5 linked regions of the Oryctolagus cuniculus genome follow. The main gene of each other region encodes a partner of the protein of the gene in region 5 in a complex. Links are inferred from orthologs where the notes say so. Each region holds a gene or a part of one and is shown on either strand. Other genes may lie near its edges. The genes, in order: ECSIT, ACAD9, TMEM186, TMEM126B and NDUFAF1.

Region 1 (3,850 bases), on a different chromosome or scaffold from region 5:
AGAGCGCCTACCTGGTAGACGGTGACCCTGGCGCTGAGGTCGGGCTCCATGTGCCGCAAGCCCAGCTTGGCCAGGTCCACGGGGTCGGGGGGCAGGTGGAGGGGCACGGGGAAGGGGTTGACGTTCTTGAAGCGGGTGAGCCACAGCTTCATGCGCACCAGCTTCAGCATGGGGTAGCTCCTACGCCCGAAAATCTGCGTGAGCAGGAACTCCGTCTGCGTGTCGGGCATCACCCCTGCGCCGGGGAAGGGAGGGAGCTGTGGGGTCCGCGCGCAGACCCCGGGCAGGGAGAGAGCTGTGGGGTCCGCGCGCAGACCCCGGGCAGGGAGCCGGGGCTGGGGCAGGGAGGGAGCTGTGGGGTCCGCGCGCAGACCCCGGGCAGGGAGCGAGCTGTGGGGTCCGCGGGCAGTCCCCGGGCAGGGAGCGAGCTGTGGGGTCCGCGCGCAGACCCCGGGCAGGGAGCGAGCTGTGGGGTCCGCGCGCAGACCCCGGGCAGGGAACCTGGCCCCGGGAGGCAGGGGCGGCCGCCTCACCGTGCTGCTCCATCTGCTCCAGCACGGCGACGCCGCACTCCTGCTGCCGCGGGTAGTGTACGAACATGCGCTGGAAGACGTTGCGCGGCCGGAAGACCTCCTTGGGGAAGACGTCCAGCAGCAGGTTGTAGACGGCCAGGTCCCGCTGCACGCCGAACTCCCGCATCTTGCGCAGCGCCAGGTAGATGAAGTCCACGTGGCCGCGCCTGCGCACGTCCTGCTGCCCGAAGCACTGCACCGCCCGCACGAAGCTGGCCTTGTCGCGCTCCCCGCCCGGCGCCTGCTTGAACAGCTCCTCGTGGGGCTCCAGGACCTTGACGGGCCTGCGTTGGGACTCGGGTGGGCTGGGGACCAGCGACAGGTCGGAGCTGCAGGCCGCCGCGCTGCGGTGGAGGCCCCGCAGGGCCAGGGCCGCGACCTGGGGAAGGGACGCGGGTTGGAGCCTGGCAGGCCTGCTTCCGCAGGGGAGTTGGTGGCAGGCATATCCCGGAAGGCCGGTGCTGTGGTTAGCAACCCAAGGGGGCTGGCGTGGGGCTGGGGGAGGGCAATGCCGGGGCGGCCATCTGGAGATAAGCGCACACGCGTCCCTGACAGCTGTAAGCACATCTGGGCCACGCAGCTCTGCTACAAAGGGGTCCACTGCAGTGGGCTCCCACCACGGACATCTTCCAAAGGCAAGGAAGGGGCGGCGCTGGGGCCGCGGACCTGGCCGGGGGCTGTGTGCACACCCCGGAGAGCTCGGGGCGCCTGTGTTTGCCTGTAAGCAGCCCGGGGCGGTCAGCCAGAGCGACGCTGGGATCCAAGAACTCCATCAGGTACCTCCCGGGCTGCCCCTTCGTAGGAAGCTGGACCCACACCGGGCCCTCAGTATGAGATACGCTGCCCGCGTCCCCCGTTGGAGCCTGGGTTCCAGATGCAGCTCTGCGTGAGGCCAGCGCCCTGCGCATGCGCACTCTGGGAGGCAGCAGGGATGACGGCCCAAGTACCCGGGTGCCCGCCACCCCCGCGGGAGATGCAGACCAGCCGAGCCAGGCCTTGCTCCTTCCGCTCCCCAGACGCCCGGCTGGTGGTTACCTGTGAGAAGGGGGCTCCCCTGAGGGCGGCCCCGCACAGGCCTCCCCAGCCCCTGGAGAGGCCTCGGGCCAGCAGGGCGGCTTGGGCCCAGCTCATGCCTCTGCTCCTAACAGGACCTGGTCGAGAAACAAGAGACAGCATCAGCCTGGTGGGCAGACGGGACCCTGCGTGCGAGGGCTCGTCCCAGGCCCTGTGGCCAAACCCGGGTCCCCTCACCACTTCCTCCAGCCCCAAGGATTGCTCACCCACAAGGCAGACGAAGGCGACCTTGCAATCCATGGCGGGGTGGGGGGGGGGGGGTGGGGTGGGGGGGCTGCTGGGCCAAACCCTTCAATAACTTCAGGAACTTGCTCCCTCTCCCTATGTCATTCTTCTTTTTAAAGATTTATTTATTTACTTATTTGAAAGGCAGAGTTAGGGAGAGAGGTCTTCCATCAGCTGGTTCACTCCCCTAATAGAAGCAACGACCAGAGCTGGGCCGATCCGGAGCCAGGAGCCAGGAGCTTCCGCCGGGTCTCCCACGCAGGTGCAGGGGCCCAAGCACTTGCCCCATCTTCCACTGCTTTCCCAGGCCACAGCAGAGAGCTGGATCGGAAGTGGAGCAGCTGGGACCTGAACCAGCACCCAGATGGGAGGCTGGTGCTGCAGACCACGGCTTAGCCTGCCGTGCCACAGTGCCGGCCCCTTTTTAAAAGTTTTATTCATATACTATATAGCTCACCCTTTAAAGAACAAATAAAATTGTGGGGCTTTTTTCTTTTTTAAGATTTTATTTACTCATTTGCGAGGTAGAGCTACAGACAGTGAGTGGAGAGGCAGAGAGAGAGAGAGGTCTTCTGTCCGTTGGTTCACTCCGAAATGGCTGCAATGACTGGAGCTGTGCTGATCCGAAGCCAGGAGCCAGGTGCTTCTTCCTGGTTTCCCTCGCAGGTGCAGGGGCCCAAGCACTTGGTCCATCCTCCACTGCCTTCCTGGGCCACAGCAGAGAGCTGGACCAGAAGAGGAGCAGCTGGGACTCAAACTAGTGCCCACATAGGATGCCGGCGCCGCAGGCGGAGGATTCATCTACTGAGCCACGTGTGGTCGGTGTTATACAACCAACAAAGATCTTTGTGATTTTTTAAAAAGTGTTTATTTGAAAGGAAGATTTAAACAAATGATTATTTGACAGGAAGAGCAAGAGAGAGACAGCGGGAGCTATCTTCCATCCACGGGCTGACTTCAAATACCTGCAACGACCAGGGCCAGGCCAGGCTAAAACTGAAGCCAGGAAGCCATATCCCAGCTGGTGGCGGGGCCCCAGCTATGCAGGCCGCCTTCTGCTGTCTTCCCAGGCGTGTTCACAAGCCGGGTCGCGAGAGGAACAGGCAGGACTCGAACCGGCGCCCCTGGAAGGGATGCTGGTGTCGCAGGGGCCTCTGAACCACGGCCACGGTGCCCTTGTGCCTCTGAACTGCTCGAGGGATGCCATCGCTTGGTGACCGCGTTTCCCTTACCCCTCCTCACTTGGCAGGCAGTGGGGGTACCGCTGGCACGTCCGTGGACGTCCGTGTGTGAGCTTCGGTGCGAACACGAGACCCTGCTTTTCCCGAGACGGACGGGAGGACACAGGCTCCCTGAACCGCTACCGTCTGTGGAACGGCAGGACTCCGGCCTGGCTGTGACACGCGCCCAGAATCCTCCCAGGAGGCGCACGGGCTCCGCTTCCCCGCGTCCTCCTCACTGCTCGGCCGGACGCGGCTCCTCGTGTTCTGGATTTGTATTTTCCCAATGAATGGACTGGGCGTCCTTCCATGCACTCACTGACCGGTGTGAAGGAGAAATGTCTACTTCAGTCCTTGTCCATTTAAAAAACTGGGATAGTTATCTTTTTTAAGAGTTCTTTTAGGTCTGGTGTTGTGGCATAGCGGGTTAAGCCGCCGCTTGCAATGCTGGCATCCCATATGGGCACTGGTTCGAATCCTGGCTGCTCCGCTTCCAATCCAGCTCCCTGCTAATGCGCCTGGGAAAGCAGCAGAAGATGGCCTGAGTGCTTGGGCCCCTGCACCCACGCGAGACACCTGCAGGAAGCTCCTGGCTCCTGGTTTTGGCCTGGCCCAGTCTTGGCCTTTACTGCCATTTGGGGAGTGAACCAGCAGATGGAAGACCTCTCGGTAACTCTGCCTTTTGAATAAATAAATACATGTTTAAAAAAAAAAAAAAAACACAAGAATTCTTTTATATTCTGGGTACCAAGCCCTTGT
Region 2 (4,557 bases), on a different chromosome or scaffold from region 5:
CTGAAAGGAGGAGCCTGGCAGGCCATCCAGGTCCCCTACGTGGGTGGCAGGGGCCCAAGCACTTGGACCGTCTTCCAGCGCTTTCCCAGGCACATCAGCAGGGAGCTGGATCAGAAATGAAGCAGCCATTCAGCCTGGCGCCTAAATGGGATGTCAGCATCACAGATGGCAGCCTAACCCACTGTGCCACAACACCAGTCTCTGAAAATTTAATACCTAGCAGCCCCTACTGCAGTAATATTGGTGAAAGGGGAAAGAAAAGGGCATCCTAGATTCCTCATCTGGCCAGCAGGACACAACTCACTGCAGTTATAAAGACTACACCAAGCGCTTAAGATGCAGGCTGTCCCAGGGCCATCTTCCTCCCCACACACCACTTTCCTTATCCATAACAAGTGATGAGGACTGTCCCATAGAACAGGAAGTCCAGGACTTGAGTCTGGTCCTGGATTTGCCACTTGCCAACTGCGGCCGCAGCCACCTCCCTTCACCTCACCAAGCTCCTGTTGACTCAAGTTCCTTGTGAGAATCCTGGAAGGCGGAATGAGAAAGGTCTTTTCTAAAATGGAGAGAATCCTACATCAGTTACTTTGAGTTAAAAATGGTGCTGCTGACAGGAGCACGGCGTGGCTGCCAGATCTGACCACGGAGCCTCTGGCCCTCAGTCGCTGCAGCCACTCCCTGTGCTGTGGGATCAGAGAGCAAAGCCCAGCTGTGGATCCACATCGCCCTGAACTTCACCCTGGCACAGCCACTCCTCGCAGGTGACTGGGCAGCTTGCATCATCCCTCTCCGTCCGGTTCTCTCCCACAGATGATTCTCTTTATCTCAGAAGGTGACTGTGGTCACGTGCCCCAGGACATAAAGTAAGTGTTCTCAGCTTCTGGCTCCACTGTTGTCCCACCTGGTGACCTGGAAAGTGACTTAGCTGCCAGTCTCTTTCCAATCCCTGACTAGCCCAGGATTCCCTCCTGCTGGCCCTGGAGAGCATTCCACAGTATCAAAAGCCCCTCTGGCCTTGGGACTCCAACTAACCCTTCGGCAGCCAGCATGGCACCAGGAAGTGGACTTGGGGGTGCCTATTATAAGCTGCCAGGCCCCAGGAGCCCTGCCTGTCCTCATGGCACTGGAGCTTCAGGAAGGTTGTCACAGAAGTCCTCATCCTTGTTCCCAGCCTCTGCACATCTCATTGACCACCTGACTTGTCTACTCCAGCACCGTGCTCCCCAATCTGTCCTCAGCTCTCTGGCCCCAGGACTGCAGGCTTATTGGGGCTACCCTATCCAAAAGCGACAGCAGACTTAGCGGTGTCCTGCCTCTCTGTCACAACCCTCTACTAAGGGGGTCTGGAAGGAAAGGCAGGTACACCTGTCACCACTCTCAAGCCTCTGGAGACAAAGCTGTCTCTGCCCAACAGAGGCGACTGCCCCCTCACACTCCCTTCCCTAGCCTTGTTGGTCAGCTGGGCAATGGCTATGGGAGGAGATAGGGGGATGATCACTGACATCGGTGGGCAGGCCACGTGACAGAATAGAGACAGCCTGGTAACTTGGTGGCCTTGGACCACAACCAAAGGGTAACTGCTACAGGGAGATGCCCCGGGTGCCAGGGAGAAAGAGTTCTTGGACAACAATGGTCAAAAACTGACAGGTGTGCCTCACGGGAGGGGAACTCAGTTGCAATGGACAGTTTTCAAACTTGTAAAGCAGGGAGACCTGTTATTCCCATAAATCTAGGGCAGAAGTCACGTAAGACAGATCAAAGCCAGGCAACTTGATTGAGGCTGCTCATAAGAAGAGAGGCCCAAATCTCACTGACTCAGCCTCCCGTTCAACCCTGCAGGAGCCCCTGGGGCACTCCTTCCTATAATTTTGCCCCAACTAAGGGCAGAATGATGCTCACCAGCCTCAATAACCTGGGGTTCTCTTTCTATTCTAAAAGGCTAATAGTCGCTGCCCTGTTCCTACTAAAGACCCAGAAATGCTGAGGGAGGCCTGACCCAGAGGAGGAGCTGTGCTTGAGCCTAAAGGTGGTCAGATACAGATCTGGGAGGCAGCAGTGACAACTCCAACAACTGGGTTCCTGTCACCCATGTGGGAGACCGAGAATGAGCTTTGGCCATTACAGGCATTTTGGGGAGTGAACCAGCAGACGCATCAATGAATGAATGAATGAATGAGCCCCTTGTAGCTGAAGAATTTCCATGCACTATCAACCCTACAGGGGCTCTACAACACATCTGTGAGGTACACACACCCACCAGCTCCATTTTAAGGCCGAATGAGACAAGGCTCAAAGTCACAGAGATAAGATCAAATCTCAGTCTTCAAAAGAGGATGGTGTTCAGCAGCCACATTGTTGCTGTGGGCGTGGTGCAATCCTCGGAAGGGAGGGGGCGGAGGGCACCTCGGAGCCAGATTCAGGAAGAACTTGAATGGCAGGGCGAGGGGCTAGGGCTCAGCCGCAGAGGGAAACCCCGGGGGGCCCCACAGGTGCCAGGAGCGCCCTGGGCAGAGCGGGATTCAGGTACCACAAGCAAAACCCGCACATTTGGGGGCCGGCAAAGCCCGGGTGAGCGTGGCTCGGCGACCTCTCCCCAGGGCTCTCCCAAGACTCCCTGGAAGAACTCGCGGGGACTTGTCAAAGCCACTCCGCCCGGGGACCCGGCCCCGGCCCCTGGGAAGGCTCCGGCGGGTTCGGATCCCGGGGTTGCGGCACGGACCGCCCCTCGGGAACATCTGGCCGGGCACGTTTGCGGGCTCCGGCCCTGCCGTGACCGGCGAGCAGCGGTCGGCCCGGGGCTCGCCTTACCTTCTCGATCTTGCCCAGGAAGAGCTCCTTGGCGAAAGTCGCGCTCCGCGGGCTGGTGCGCAGCGGGCGCCGGCTCTCCGTGAAGGCCACCAGAGCCCGACAGACTCGCGCGGCCGCCGCCGTGCGCAGGATTAGCCCGCAGCCGCTCATGCTGCCGGCGTCCGCTCCGGGCGCTGAAAGTGCAGGCTCGAGCGCCGCGCCTCAGCCAAGGGCACCCGGGCCGCGCCTCCTGATGACGCCATTGGCCGGCGCCGCCGCACCCACTGCGCTTGCGCCGCCAGCCGCCCCTGGAGAGCGAGGGTGGCTAGGCGGGGTCCGTGCAGTTTTGTTGGGTTCAGGCTCAGGCTTACGGTGGCTGCCGGTCGTTTGCAAAAGTGCAGGCCCTAGGACTATGCTTCCCAGGCGAACGGGAATCTAAGTGCTCCCATTTGCCCCCGTCAATGAGGCAATGCAAAGCAATGCACGGTGTTGGTTACCTCTGCAGGGAGCTCACAGCATGGGGCATGCTTCTTGCTTTTAAGTGGAGGGTGGAATCGCCGGGACCCTTTTGTCTTCCTTTGTAGCTCACGGGGATGTGACGCTGAGCCCCTCTGCCGTGCCTGGCTGTCGATGCTGCCTGCTACCACGCTTTAGTCTCCCACACTCCGACTTCTCCCGTAGCCCTAAGGGTTACTTGTTCTGCTGACCCAGGACAGTCAGCCCAGGACCCCAGAACCGAGCCGTCTCTCCGTGCAGAGCGGGCCGGGAGCAGGGTCTGAAGCCAACCCTCTCTACTTCCCCTCTCCCACCCTTTTCTCCTCGAGGACCCTTCTGCTCACCCTGCCCACCCGCGTGCGTGTTTGCATTCTCCCTTTTAAAGCTTTGTTTGCCACTTTGTGCGCTGCATATGTGCCTGTAGTTAGACTGCTTCTCCAGGGCCTGGAATAAAAATTAGAACTCACTTCCCCGGCCTCAATGTGATTGCAAATCAACTGCTTCTTAAATTCACTTAATTGAGGGAATGGGACATTGAGTCTTGCTGCCCCACAGGGTCCCACATCACAAGATTTGTGAGTTCATTGACCTCTTTTCCAGCTGACATCTTGCTGGATCTTGGTCTTCAAGACCAAGATCTTGGTCTTCAAGGGTTTTTTTGGGAGTCCCAAGCCCTGAGTAAAAAATACCGGCCCGTCTGCTACAAGCCCCCCTAACTGGAGCGTATTTTGCCATCATCAAAATTCCCGAAAGAACCTGATATTGCTGGTCAATCAAAGAAGGGCAAAGATCAGCACAAGAATGAAAAACACTTCTCAATCCCAAAACCATCTATAAGATCTCTGACCATATTTTTTTAAAATAAGCTTTATTTATTTGAAAGAGTTAACAGAGAAGGAGAAACAAGCAGAGAGGAAGAGAAAGATATCTTCCATCTGCTGGTTCCATCCACAATGGCCAGGGCTGGGCTAACCTAAAGCCAGTGCAAGGTGTCCAGCGCGAAACAAATCTTCCCAGCCAGATCAATCAGTTTACAGGCTTTCATTGGGATTCCACTCCTGGGCGAGGTTCCCAGCCCAACAGGGCGGGGCCGGGGAAGTCAGGTGTCAGAGGTTGGGAGGGCTCCTTACACAGGTACAGGGTGTGGGGGTTAAAGGTTGAGGCGGGCCTGATCCTCATTGGTTGACCTTTAGGTGCCTGCAGGGACCTTGGCAAGGACTTTTCATTCCTGGAAGTGGGGGTACGGACTCTCCATTCCTGGAAGTGTGGGCC
Region 3 (4,229 bases), on a different chromosome or scaffold from region 5:
AGGACGGCCCAAGTCCTTGGGCCCCTCACCCGGAAGAAGCTCCTGACAGAGCTGGTCATTGTGGCCATTTGGAGTGTGAACCAGTGAGTGGGAGATCTTGTCTCTCCTTCTCTCTGTAACTCTGCCTCTCAAATAAATAATAAATCTTTAAAAAAGGGAAGGGGAGGGGGGAGGCAGGGAGGGGAGAGAACCTCTGGACATTGCAATGGGAATGTAACCCGGCATAGCCACTGTAAAAAGTCTGGCAGGTCCTCCAATGGTTAAACACAGAATTACCAGAGGACCTAGGAGTCCCACATCTTGGGATGCACCCAAAGGTGAAAATAATCCCAACGTCCCCCAGCACATGAACAGAGACAAACGTGGCAGTACACGGAACAATACCGTCCAGCTATAAGGAAGAATTACATGCCACTACACGCTACCCACACGTTGAAAACATCACACCAAGCCAACGAAGCCAGTCACGAAAGGGCACATACTGTGTGATTCCAGGCCATGCCATGTCCAGACAGGCAGATTCTAAGGCAGAAGGGGATTAGTGGCTGCCAACGGGAGAGCGAGTGCTGCTCTGTGGGTACAGAGGCCCTGGGATGGTGAAAAACTTCTGGGGGTGAACTGTGGGGGTGGTTACACCACACTGCAAATGTACTTACTGTCCCTGAACTGTACACTTAACATGGTTACAACGATACATTTGTGATGAGTACATGACAATGAAAACAGAGGTGATACGAAATTTATTGACTTATGCGTGGCAAAATCACGAAGACCTTTACCCTGCTACAAGCTACGTGGCCGACACACACACCGATCACGGGAGGCAACACGCAGAGGTAGAGCACTACACACACCCATCTGGCTCCATGACGCAGCGGGACGGCCTCGGCCTGTGGGTGCGGAACATCTCAGCTGGGGCGTCGCGCCTCACTCGGGGTGCAGTTACCATCCTGGGAGGGTGCAATGCCCCCGCCACGCTTCGTCCCACTCTTCTGCTAAGGGGTGCATGGAGAGGCAGAACACAGGGCTCCCGCGCGCTGCCTGAAAGCCCCGACCACCACCTCTGAGCAGACGCTTCCCAGTCGCCCAGGGCTACGGCCTTGCATGTTTACTGTGTGTTCTGACATCCAGCCCACGAGACAGAAAGAACTTTCCGTTTGACAGACGTGAGAAACCAAGGCTCACACAGACTCCGTCAGCTGCCCAGAACAGCGAGCTGACAGCACCCCAAACCCTGTGCTCCTCCCACATCTGTCTTCCAAATACCCGTGAACTGTCCGGGTGACCGTGGCATAGCTTCCTCCAAGAACTGGATCCGAACAGAACCTCCTGGCCATTATCTGCAAGAACAGCACGCGCAAGTGCAGGAAGAATCCGCACTCGGGCGCCTTCCCGTAAACCTGGGTCCGAATTTCTGTGTTCTTCCGAAAAGACAAACTCCCAGGGTTCTGACAGTCTCTAGGGGCCCGATTCCCTCCTTCGGCCTCGTCTACACCCTCAGCCTTCTTGGTTAGTGACCCAAGGGGCCCAGGGCTTCCCAGAGGCCCAGCTGATCACTTGAGCGAGTCCAGTCTCCCAAACACCTGTGTGAAGCGCTCTCTGTCCAGGACGCGCCCGTAGCGCAGAGGTAGGTAGAAGGTCTGCTTCCCGCTGTACTGCTGGATGCGCACAAACACCTCGTGGGGCCGGTCCCTCGTCTCCGTCAGGGGGACCACGTCCGCCACGGGGCAGTACGTGTCCTGTCGCCAGCCCCAGAAGGTGAGGTGAGCCACCCGCAGCACGGTGCCCGACTCGTTCACATACAGGATGCCTACGAGCCTGCGGAAGAAATGGCTCATCCAGCACAGCATGGCCAGGGCGAAGCCAGCTATGCCACCCACCAGGCACAGCGAGTCGAGCGGCATGAGGCCCTGGGAGTACCAGTAGAAGCCGGGCGGCAGAGCCACCAGCGTCAGGGCCGTCTGCGCCACCTTCAGCCGAGATATGTACCCAAACGCTCTGATGGCATCGAAACGGTAGACCATCTGGAACTTCTCGGTCTCTGTGCCCGGGGCTTTCTCCTCGGAACCGGGAGACCTGCTCCGCACCCACCTCTTGGGATCCTCTCGCCCACCGCAGGACCACAGCCCGCAGAGGGGCTTTCCCCAGGCGGCCGGCCCCCGCCACCTGGGCACAGCTCGGAGGAGGGCAGCCTGGAAGGGAGACAAGAGACCGTTTCCTCTCAGAACTCGGCTTCCACCTGCGTGAGTTCGTTAGGCTTTACCAACGGGCACTCAGAACACACTGAACGAGACAACGGTTTTTACGCCGTAAACGCAGCACCACTGTGCATCAGCACCGGCAGGGGCTTGGTTCCGGGATGCACGACAAGACACCCAAACCAGAGGGCTCACGTCTCTTATGCAAAATGGCACAGTGTTTGTGTGATACCTTATACCACTACTACGATGGAAACGCGGCGTAAAGAGTGGTTATGGGGGATTCCTTTGGGAGTAGCAAGAGCCCGTAGGCGTTCCGCACAGACGCAGCTGTCTCGGCAGCTGAGTGAATCCATGGATGGGGAGCGCACGGATAAGCAGCGCCGACTGCTCGGGGCCCACCCTGAGCACCCCCGCGAGGCTCGCTAGCACCGCTGCTGGCCCACGTGACCCCGCAAGACCACAGCAAGCCGTGGAGGAGCACATCGTAACCCACATCGGGGCAATCGCCCCAGGACCCAACAAACCAGAAGCTCAGGATTCCTGCCTGTTTGCCCCAACACTGGCTCCGACCCCGACGCAGCCCATCACCCTCCTCCTTACCATGGCCCTGCTCCCTGGCGCCGGATACAACCTCACCGCCGCCGGAAACTCTAAGGGCGCATGCTCGGACTACGCGCGTTGCATGCTGGGAGTTGTGGTGTAGCGTCCGTGGCCGACGCTAGCCCCGGGCATTGTGGGAGGCTGTGGGAGTCTCTTCCCGACGTGCTCTGCGGCGAAGAGGGCCGAACCCGGAAGTTCCGGGTCGAGGTCCGGGTGCCAACGAGTCGTCTCAGGTGTGGACGGAAACGGGGGCCATGGCAGCTCCGGGACCAGCGCTTTGCCTCTTCGACGTGGACGGGACCCTGACCGCCCCGCGGCAGGTAGGCGGCGCGCAGAGGGCTGGCGGCAGCCGGCACGGAGCACTTTCTGCTCCTAGACGGGACGAACGACCGTCCAGCTTGGGTGCCTGGGTGCAACTGAGGACCGCCTCCCGCCTCCAGGGGCTGCCCTTGGTCTGGGTGCCCCAGCGGCGGGAGACGGGCCTGAAGCAGCTCGTCAAGATCCCGGGGTGCTCGGAGAGGGAGGGCGGGGTCGGGAAACTTGGGTTAGAACAAGCAGCCCGTTCTCTGGCCGCGAGCCCTGAACCCCAGCCGAGGCCCCCTCAGCAGCTGTGTGACCTTCCCCGTCCCGTCGCGCGTGGCTGGACCTTGGAGCGAGATGCTGAAAGCGCAGGGTTCGGGCCGGCGCTGCGGCTGTTACTAGTTAAACATCCGTGTGCCTGCGGCGCCGGCATCCCATATGGGCGCCGGGTTGAGTCCCACCTGCTCCACTTCGGATCCGGCTCCCTGCTGATGGCCTGGGAAAGCTGCAGTGGACGGGCCCGGTCCTTGGGCCCCTGCACCCATGTGGGAGACCCGGAAGAAGCTCCTGGCTTCGGATCAGCGCAGCCGCGGCCCTTGCGGCCATTTAGGGAGTGAGCCCTTGGGTGGAAGACCCCCTCTCTCTATCTCGACCTCTCTCTGTCTGCAACTCTGCCCTCAAATAGATAAATCTTAAAGAAAGAAAGTGTAGATTTCCTAGTCCAGAGGACCTAGCGGAGCCTCAGCTTGGGCCAGTTAGCCCCAGCCGGAAGCGGGGACAGTGCTTGTTACGTGTCATCCGAATAGGACCAAATGCAAGGTGTCTGCTCGCAGTAGGCCTCCGTAAGCACGGGCCGTCTCCACCCGCCCTGTGCAGCCCCTGCCGGGGTCGGGGTCGGGGTCGGGGGGACGTCCTAGGTCGTCACAGGCAGCCTGGTGAGTCTCTGCACCCTTGGAAGCGTGCCCCCCGCGCTCAGATCTGCCTGCTGCGGGCGCGCGTACGTTTCAGCTACGATCAGCTTCGTGGCGAGGCTCTCCCTTGTACAGACTGGTCGCAGGAACACCAGCCATGGGAGGCAGCAGTCAGCACACACCTGTGGGTTGTTAAAAGCCCTTACTGGCGGCCGGC
Region 4 (3,176 bases), on a different chromosome or scaffold from region 5:
GGTCAAAGCCGGGCTGATCCGGAGCCAGGAGCCAGGAGCTTCTTCATTCTCCCACCTGGGTGCAAGGGTCCAAGGACTGGGGCCATCCTCCACTGCTTTCCCCGGCCATAGAAGAGAGCCAGATAGGAAGTAGAGCAGCCGGGACCCAAACTGGTGCCCATATGGGATGCTAGCACCGCAGGCAGCAGCTTTACCTGCTTCCCCACAGTGTCGGCCCCCACACTGTTTTATGTAATCCACATGACAGTTCTGATCAAGCAGAGCAAGTAGTATTGTCTCCTTTTTATAGATAGGCAGTCAAACTGAAGCAAGTTCAAGGACACTAAAAAATAAAAGTGTTACTGGAGAAAGAATAAACACATATGACCTCAGATTCTACTTCCTACTACATAAGTTTTGTGATATCGAGCAAGTCATTTAATCTGTGAACCTTAGTTGTGTTACCTCTGAATTAACCCTAATTGTACTTATCTCATAGAATTGCTGTGAGAATTAAAAGATACTGTACTGGGGCCGGTGCTGTGGCATAGCAGGTAAAGCTGCCACCTGCAGTGCTGGCATCCCATATGGGTGCTGGTTCAAGTCCCACTGTCCCACTTCTGATCCAGCTCTCTGCTATGGCCTGGGAAAGCAGTAGAAGATGGCTCAAGTCCTTGGACCCTTGCACCTGCGTGGGAGACCTGGAGGCAGCTCCTGGCTCTTGGCTTTGGATAGGCACAGCTCCAGCCATTGTGACCAATTGGGGAGTGAACCAGCGGATGGAAGACTCTCTCTCTCTCTCTCTCTCTCTCTGCCTCTCTGCCTGTCCTCTCTCTCTAACTCCAACTTTCAAATAAATAAATAAATCTTTAAAAAAAGATATTCTGGCTGGCACCGCGGCTCAATAGGCTAATCCTCTGCCTGCGGCGCCGGCACCCCGAGTTCTAGTCCCGGTCGGGGCGCTGGATTCTGTCCCGGTTGCTCCTCTTCCAGTCCAGCTCTCTGCTGTGGCCCGGGAGTGCAGTGGAGGATGGCCCAAGCGCTTGGGCCCTGCACCTGCAAGGGAGACCAGGAAAAACACCCGGCTCCTGGCTTCGGATCAGCACGGTGTGCAGGCGGCAGCACACCAGCCGCAGCGGCCATTGCGGGGTGAACCAACGGAAAAAGGAAGACCTTTCTCCCTGTCTCTCTCTCTCTCACTGTGCACTCTGCATGTCAAAAAATAAAAAATAAAAAAAAATTCTATGTTAAATGATATCTGTGTTAAATAGTATCTGTCACAAGTTTCACAGTAATTGCTGGAGCCTCTAGCCCCTGTTCATTCTTCAGGTCCCTGCTTAAATGTCTTCTGCAGAGAAACTTTCCCTGATTCCCTTAGTGTAAGTTAGGTTTCTAGATACATTCTCTAAACACTTTACTGTAAAATCCTTGTGTGCACTTAAATATCTGTCTGATTCTTTCTTCTGTGGTAGACCTGCCAGAGGTAAGAAATTGGATTGTCTTTGCACCATGGTATCCCTAGCACGTGCCTTTCATGTAGGAGACGATAAATGTATTAACTTGGATTTGGTCTGCTAGTTTAGTACTCAGATTCTTATGAAAATCCTTCTTCAACAACCATAAATGTAAGGGGTAATTCTCCAAATGATGAAGCACAATAAAAGCACTTTTAAAATGTGATTCATTTAGCTGGTTACATGCCATAGACTTTGAATTTCTAATATACTCTGTACTGTTTCACTGTGGTTGAAAATATTGTACATAACTTCTCTATGAGTCACCACACTATCTTCAAGGTTCTTATCCTGAGTTTTTTAAAGATAAACCAAATTTACTTTTGTTTTTCAGGTAACATAAGCAAGGAAAACTGTGTCCTTAGAAGTTCACTGGTTGGCATAGTATGTGGTATTTTATATCCCTCTAGTTTGGCTTTTTCTAAAAATGGACGCCTGGCAGTCAGGTAAGTCTGTTTGTTCCTTTTCTTCTTTCTATCAAAATGTATTAGTTCCGTGTTCCAAATAACTAATTTTGGGGTTTTTTTCTTTCTTGCATTTTTTTTCTTTTTTTTTTTTTTGCTATCTACCTTATAGACCTGTAGTGGAAATTATCAGTTTAGGTGAAATCAGTAAACTTGATAGAAGATATATTCAGGAGACGTGATTAACTCTTTTTCTTTTTCAGATATCATACAGTTCCACTGCCACCGAAAGGAAGGGTTTTACTCCATTGGATGCTGCTTTGTCAAACAGAGATAAAAGCAATGGTGATTCCTCTAGTCTTTCAGACAATGTTTGGAGTACTTATTGGTTTACAGCATTATTCACTGTTTGAAAAAACACTTGCAAAAACGGTACATGAAGATTAATCAAAGAATGGGTACTGATTCAGCAAAATGGTTTTTTTTTTATGATGAGTACTTGGATATTGTGGAAAAAATTGAAAGTCACTCTGGACAGAGAACTTGTCTCTGTTTCGCCTGCTATATTGCAGATACTTAATAAATATTCAGTAATTCAGTAAATGTAAAACAGTGTGAAATAATAATTTTCATCTTTCTTTCCTCATTAAATGCACAAAGCAGTTGGAGCCTCAGGTCTGATCTATGTAGTTATAAATTAATTCCTCAGGCCCTGTGTCACTTATTAATAAGAACTATTCCTTACCCAGAAGGAACTCTCAATTATAAGAAAAATAAACAGGTACACATAAAAGGTTTTATGAACTACACACATAATTTGTGGGAGCACTGAGAATGTGACTATCACTTAAGTAAAAAGGGAAGTTATGGGGAGAAAGTGCCAGTTGAGCCAAATTCTGAAGGAGAAATTGGAAGTTCATATGAAAGCAAGGTATGGAAATAACATACAACCCATTTCTCTCCAGGGTTGGAGAACATCTGGCCCTTGAGCTGTTTAACACCTGTAAAGTCAATAGGCCTGGACCTACCAAGGTAACCATCAGTAGGACTCAAAATTCAGTAACTCTATAGCTGGCTATTTTATTTATTTGAAAGAGTTACAAAAAGAGGTAGAAACAGAGAATGGTCTTCCATCTGATGGTTCACTTCCCAAATGGCTGCAACAGCTGGAGCTGAGCTGATCCAGAGCTAAGAGCCAGGAGCTGCTTCTGGTTCTCCCACCTGGCTACAGGAGCTCAAGGACTTGAGCTATCCTCTGCTACTTTCCCAGATGCATTAA
Region 5 (4,279 bases):
ATACTCAGCTAGAAAGCAGCGTAAGCCCAGTCTAAAACTCAAATCTTCAGATTCCAATTTCAGTACTCTCTCTACTCAACTTAAAAACCTACTATCTCTTGTACATTCTTTCTTTGTACCATTTGCTCCTTAAACACGGGAGAAACTATCTTTGTATCTCATGGTATTCTCAAAGCAATGCTACAAAGGACAGCTTCCTACAGTACTTTCTAGGGTATAGAAACAGTTCAGGCTATCCCAAGACACTGAGGCCAAAAGTTACTTTTAATGTTCCCTGCACGATCTCCAAGTAAGAAAGAATTCTGGAATGCTGCATGAAAAATGCCAAGAGTCCCGGGCCACAGTCCCTCCACGCCGTCCTACATAGTTCTCCGATTCTTCCCTCCTCCCAAGAGTGTCTTCTTCGCTCTGACATCCCAGCAGGGACCCACTGCAACCACAAACGACCCTAGCCCTCAGACTCATGCCCACACTAAGTCTTCCTTGCCAAGCACGACAGAAGCTCCCCGGAACGTTTACGAGTGTCCCTCCTCTGCCCACACCCGTTGTCTGAAAAACTTCATCTTCAGAGTCTGCACCTTCTCGGCCCTCTCCCCCGCACCGCCCCACGGTCACCACTGCACCTCCTCCAAAACCTTCCAGCCTACCCGGGGTTGGCGGGAGATACTTCCTATCTCCCGGGCCCCGAGCGCCTGGCCTATAGCCCGTCGTCCCGATGCGGCCCCGAAAGATCGAGGCCCCTTTTCGGTACCCCAGAGCCCCGAGGCCCCCTTCGGAACCCCTGAGCCCGAGGCCCATCATCTCCGTCCCTGCCCCGCCTCCCCGCCCAAGGCGCCAAGTCCTCGGGGCTCTGTCTCCAGGCCTGGGCCGGACTCTGAGGGCCTCGGACGCTGCGGGGAACACAGGAAAGGGGGCTGCACCGCGGTCAGGGAACGGAGCAGACCGGACGCTCAGGCCAGGAGGCTCCGGGCCCGGTCGGCTCCCGGATCCCGTGGCCCCGACTCAGCCCTCCGGCTCTGCCGGCCCGCGCCTTCGCGGCCTGCCCCCACCTGATCCAGGTTCTCGTCGCTGCCGCTATCCTCTGTGTCCGAGTCGATCACGACACGGCCTTTCCGCTTCTTTACCATGGTGGTCCCCCGGCTCCCACGCCGGACGCCGCCCGGACTCCCCTCTTGCCCGCCTGCCAGTGGGACCGCCACTGCCGCCGCCGCCGCCGCCGCTCGACCCACACAAAGGCGACCGCGCATGCGCGCTCCGCTCCGCCCCTGGCCCCGCCCCCCGCCCGGCGCAAGCCGTTCGCCAGAGCCCGGCGCCCCGCCCCATCCCGCCCCCTACGCAGCGTGGAAGGCGGGGCCGCGCGACCGGTTGAGTTCCGGGCAGAGGGTTGCGGTTGCATGCTGTCGCCGTCCGGGAAGTACAGGTTGTTCCTGTGCTGCTGGGCCGAAGCTAGGTGGGCTTCTTTGCTGTCCTGGCTGAAGTCGAAAGGACCCGAATCCTCTCGGAAGAGTCTCATGCGTCTGCAGCCTTTCGACTGTCTGAGACTGATGGAGTGTGGAGGGCTACTTAAGGGGCCGCCCCTTGGAAAACAGCTTTATGGCCGAGGGCACCGCTTGGGGGATGGAGCCTGCCTACCTGAGCAGTGCAAGTGACGGCAGAGGAGAATGTACCTGAGTGGAGGAAGGGTGTACCAAGCAGAGAGCATCGTGGGCAAAGACCTAGCAATAATAATAAAGTTGGGTTCAGGGTACTGGAAGTTCATTGTAGCTGGAGCAGACTGTGTGGGGATGATGAGAGAGATGAGGCAAGGATGGGATGCCGCGGCCACATCATTCAGAGCCTATTTAGCTATATTAGGGAGTGTGAACTTTAGTATTGAGATTTAACCTGAAGAACGACATAAGTTTTGAAAAGATGACTGGCTGCAGCGTGACTAATGGGTTAGAAGGCAGAGAGACTATGGGCAAGGAGACCAATTGGGCTGTTGGTGTCTTCTTAGCCTGAGATTATGGTATCTGTAACTAAGGAAACAGCAGTGGGAATGGAGAGGAGAGGATGGATTCTGGGTCATTTGGAAGGCAGACCCTGCAGGTTTTGGACCTTAGTTGAGGGAGGAGTAAGGAAGGAGAGGCCTCAGACATGGGTGATGTTCAGATCCTCATTTAGAGCCATTCATCAAGATAAAAAAAAAATACCTCAGAAGAAGGTTTGAGGGGCTGGTGTTTGTAGGAAATAAGTTCGGTTCTATACTTGAGTTTGAGATCATCTGATAAAGTCTGCTCCAAAAGTGATTTCTTTGCGGGCTGTGGAATATAGAGAGCATAAGAAATAGTATTTTGCAATTGGTCTCAGATCTCTTTTTTGAGTCCATCAATTCATTTATTCTGGTAGTGAACTTGGAATGAGGCCCCATCCCCCTAGAGTTGTTGAGTCCTTACTATGTCTCTCTTTTTCTCCTTTTGCTCGATGGGCGGTCCTCTGATTTAGGGTAATTTGACTTACAATTTTTCTGCTTTATGTTGATGAGAAAGCAATTCCGTAGAAACCATACTTGGGATTTTGAGTCTTGATCATTTCCAGGGCCAGTGATGTGTGGTTTGGTACTCTCACGGTGCTGGGAAGTGGCAGGGAACCCCTATTCCTGGTAAGCCACAGGATCATGAGGGTGAACAACTAATATCCTCTGGTCTACTGTGTTGCTAGGCTGTGATGCTCAGTGGTTAGTTGTACTAAACCTACTTCATTTTTAAAAAAGATTTATTCACTTATTTGAGAGCTAGAGTTAGAGAGGGAGAGACAGAAGAAAGGTCTTCCATCTGCTGGTTTACTCCCCAAATAGCTGCATGGCTGGAGCTGGGCTGATCTGAATCCAGGAACCAGAAGCTTCTTCCAGGTTTCCCATGCTAGTGAGGGACCCAAGCACTTGGGCCATCTTCTGCTTTCCCAGGCCATAAGCAGAGAGCTGGATTGGAAGAGGAGCAGCTGGGACAGGAACTGGCGCCCATATGGGATGCCAGCACCACAGGTGGCAGCTTAGTCCACTATGCCGTAGCACTGGTCCACTAGGATATTTTCCATTTATGATGGGAATTTAGCCCCATCATAAGTCAAAGAGTATCTGTATAAATTTTATTTTTTCTGCCAAGTTACAATACATATCACAAATGTGCATGCTTTAAAATAATAATTAAAAAAAAGTCAATATAGGCGGTGCCGGCACCCTGGGTTCTAGTCCCGGTTGCTCCCTCCTCTTCCAGTCCAGCTCTCTGCTGTGGCCCGGGAGTGCAGTGGAGGATGGCCCAAGTGCTTGGGCCCTGCACCCACATGGGAGACCAGGAGGAAGCGCCTGGCTCCTGGCTTCGGATGGGCTCAGCGTGCTGGCGGTAGCAGCCATTTGAGGGGTGAACCAACGGAAGGAAGACCTTTCACTCTGTCTCTCTCTCTCTCTCACTGTCTAACTCTGCCTGTCAAAAAAAAAAAATGACATTGTACAGAGCAAAAAAGTCAATATAGAAAAAATCCCTGGGACTAAACACTTAACCCGGATGTCCAGTTTGCTGCTATTTACTTGAAAAGGGGTGATCATCAAGATTATGGTAGAAAAAAAAAACCTAAATAAAGGCCAGCTAACTGTGTACTCCAGAATAGCTTTCCAACACCTAGACTGCTCTAGCCCAACATATTGGAACTGAGCCAAGATGACCCAAGATGACCAGGCCAGCCCTCCTATTTCTAGCCACCCTGAAGCTGGAGCGCTTTTGTGATGACCCTCTTTAAATGTGTTACATCAAAGAAAGTCATAACGACCCTGGACTGGAATTAAGAAAGGTATGTTTCTTTTTTTAAAGATTTTTATTTATTTAAGAGTTATGGGGCAGTAAGGTGGGGGCAGGGAGGATGGGAAGGTCTTCCATGCACTGGTTCGCTCTCCAAATGGCCACAACAGCCAGGGCTGAGTCAAGAGCTTCATCTGGGTTTCCCATGTGAGTGCAGGGGCCCAAACACTTAGGTCGTCTTCCACTGCTTTCCTAGGTGCATCAGCAGGGAGCTAGATCAGAAGTGGAGCAGCCAGGACTTGAACTGGTGTCCATATGGGATGCCAGTGCTAGCTTTACCCACTATGCCACGGTGGTGTCTCCAAAAGTTATGTTATTTTAGTGAAATCTCTGATTCTGATTTTTTTGTGTGTGCAGTGTCCCTCCCTCCCCCCAAAAGGCATAGAAAAGAGATTTGCCATTTGCTAGTTCACTCCCCAAATACCCACAACAGCTGAGGCCGGGCC

Evidence for each region.
Region 1: NDUFAF1 (region 5) and ECSIT share a complex: the UniProt entries of both Homo sapiens proteins name them as parts of the mitochondrial complex. The link is inferred for Oryctolagus cuniculus from reciprocal best matches to the Homo sapiens genes NDUFAF1 and ECSIT.
Region 2: NDUFAF1 (region 5) and ACAD9 share a complex: the UniProt entries of both Homo sapiens proteins name them as parts of the mitochondrial complex. The link is inferred for Oryctolagus cuniculus from reciprocal best matches to the Homo sapiens genes NDUFAF1 and ACAD9.
Region 3: NDUFAF1 (region 5) and TMEM186 share a complex: the UniProt entries of both Homo sapiens proteins name them as parts of the mitochondrial complex. The link is inferred for Oryctolagus cuniculus from reciprocal best matches to the Homo sapiens genes NDUFAF1 and TMEM186.
Region 4: NDUFAF1 (region 5) and TMEM126B share a complex: the UniProt entries of both Homo sapiens proteins name them as parts of the mitochondrial complex. The link is inferred for Oryctolagus cuniculus from reciprocal best matches to the Homo sapiens genes NDUFAF1 and TMEM126B.

Annotation. Positions count from the first base shown.
Region 1 is NC_091447.1:66,367,639-66,371,488, reverse strand, and holds part of ECSIT (evolutionarily conserved signaling intermediate in Toll pathway, mitochondrial), read right to left. Parts: intron 1,724-3,850; 5' UTR 1,704-1,723; coding exon 1,608-1,703; intron 952-1,607; coding exon 534-951; intron 236-533; coding exon 12-235; intron 1-11.
Region 2 is NC_091441.1:111,793,707-111,798,263, forward strand, and holds the start of ACAD9 (complex I assembly factor ACAD9, mitochondrial), read right to left. Parts: upstream 3,048-4,557; 5' UTR 2,962-3,047; coding exon 2,812-2,961; intron 1-2,811. UniProt on the Homo sapiens protein: As part of the MCIA complex, primarily participates in the assembly of the mitochondrial complex I and therefore plays a role in oxidative phosphorylation.
Region 3 is NC_091450.1:27,395,972-27,400,200, reverse strand, and holds TMEM186 (transmembrane protein 186), read right to left. Parts: upstream 2,927-4,229; 5' UTR 2,805-2,926; coding exon 2,802-2,804; intron 2,193-2,801; coding exon 1,554-2,192; 3' UTR 725-1,553; downstream 1-724. Other genes in the region: PMM2 (phosphomannomutase 2), read left to right, coding at 3,056-3,121. UniProt on the Homo sapiens protein: As part of the MCIA complex, required for efficient assembly of the mitochondrial complex I.
Region 4 is NC_091432.1:76,713,919-76,717,094, forward strand, and holds the end of TMEM126B (complex I assembly factor TMEM126B, mitochondrial), read left to right. Parts: intron 1-1,827; coding exon 1,828-1,939; intron 1,940-2,160; coding exon 2,161-2,344; 3' UTR 2,345-2,507; downstream 2,508-3,176. UniProt on the Homo sapiens protein: As part of the MCIA complex, involved in the assembly of the mitochondrial complex I. Participates in constructing the membrane arm of complex I.
Region 5 is NC_091443.1:64,520,596-64,524,874, reverse strand, and holds the start of NDUFAF1 (complex I intermediate-associated protein 30, mitochondrial), read left to right. Parts: upstream 1-1,364; 5' UTR 1,365-1,450; intron 1,451-3,762; exon of another isoform or gene 3,763-3,825; intron 3,826-4,279. Other genes in the region: RNA polymerase-associated protein RTF1 homolog, read right to left, coding at 1,050-1,247. UniProt on the Homo sapiens protein: As part of the MCIA complex, involved in the assembly of the mitochondrial complex I.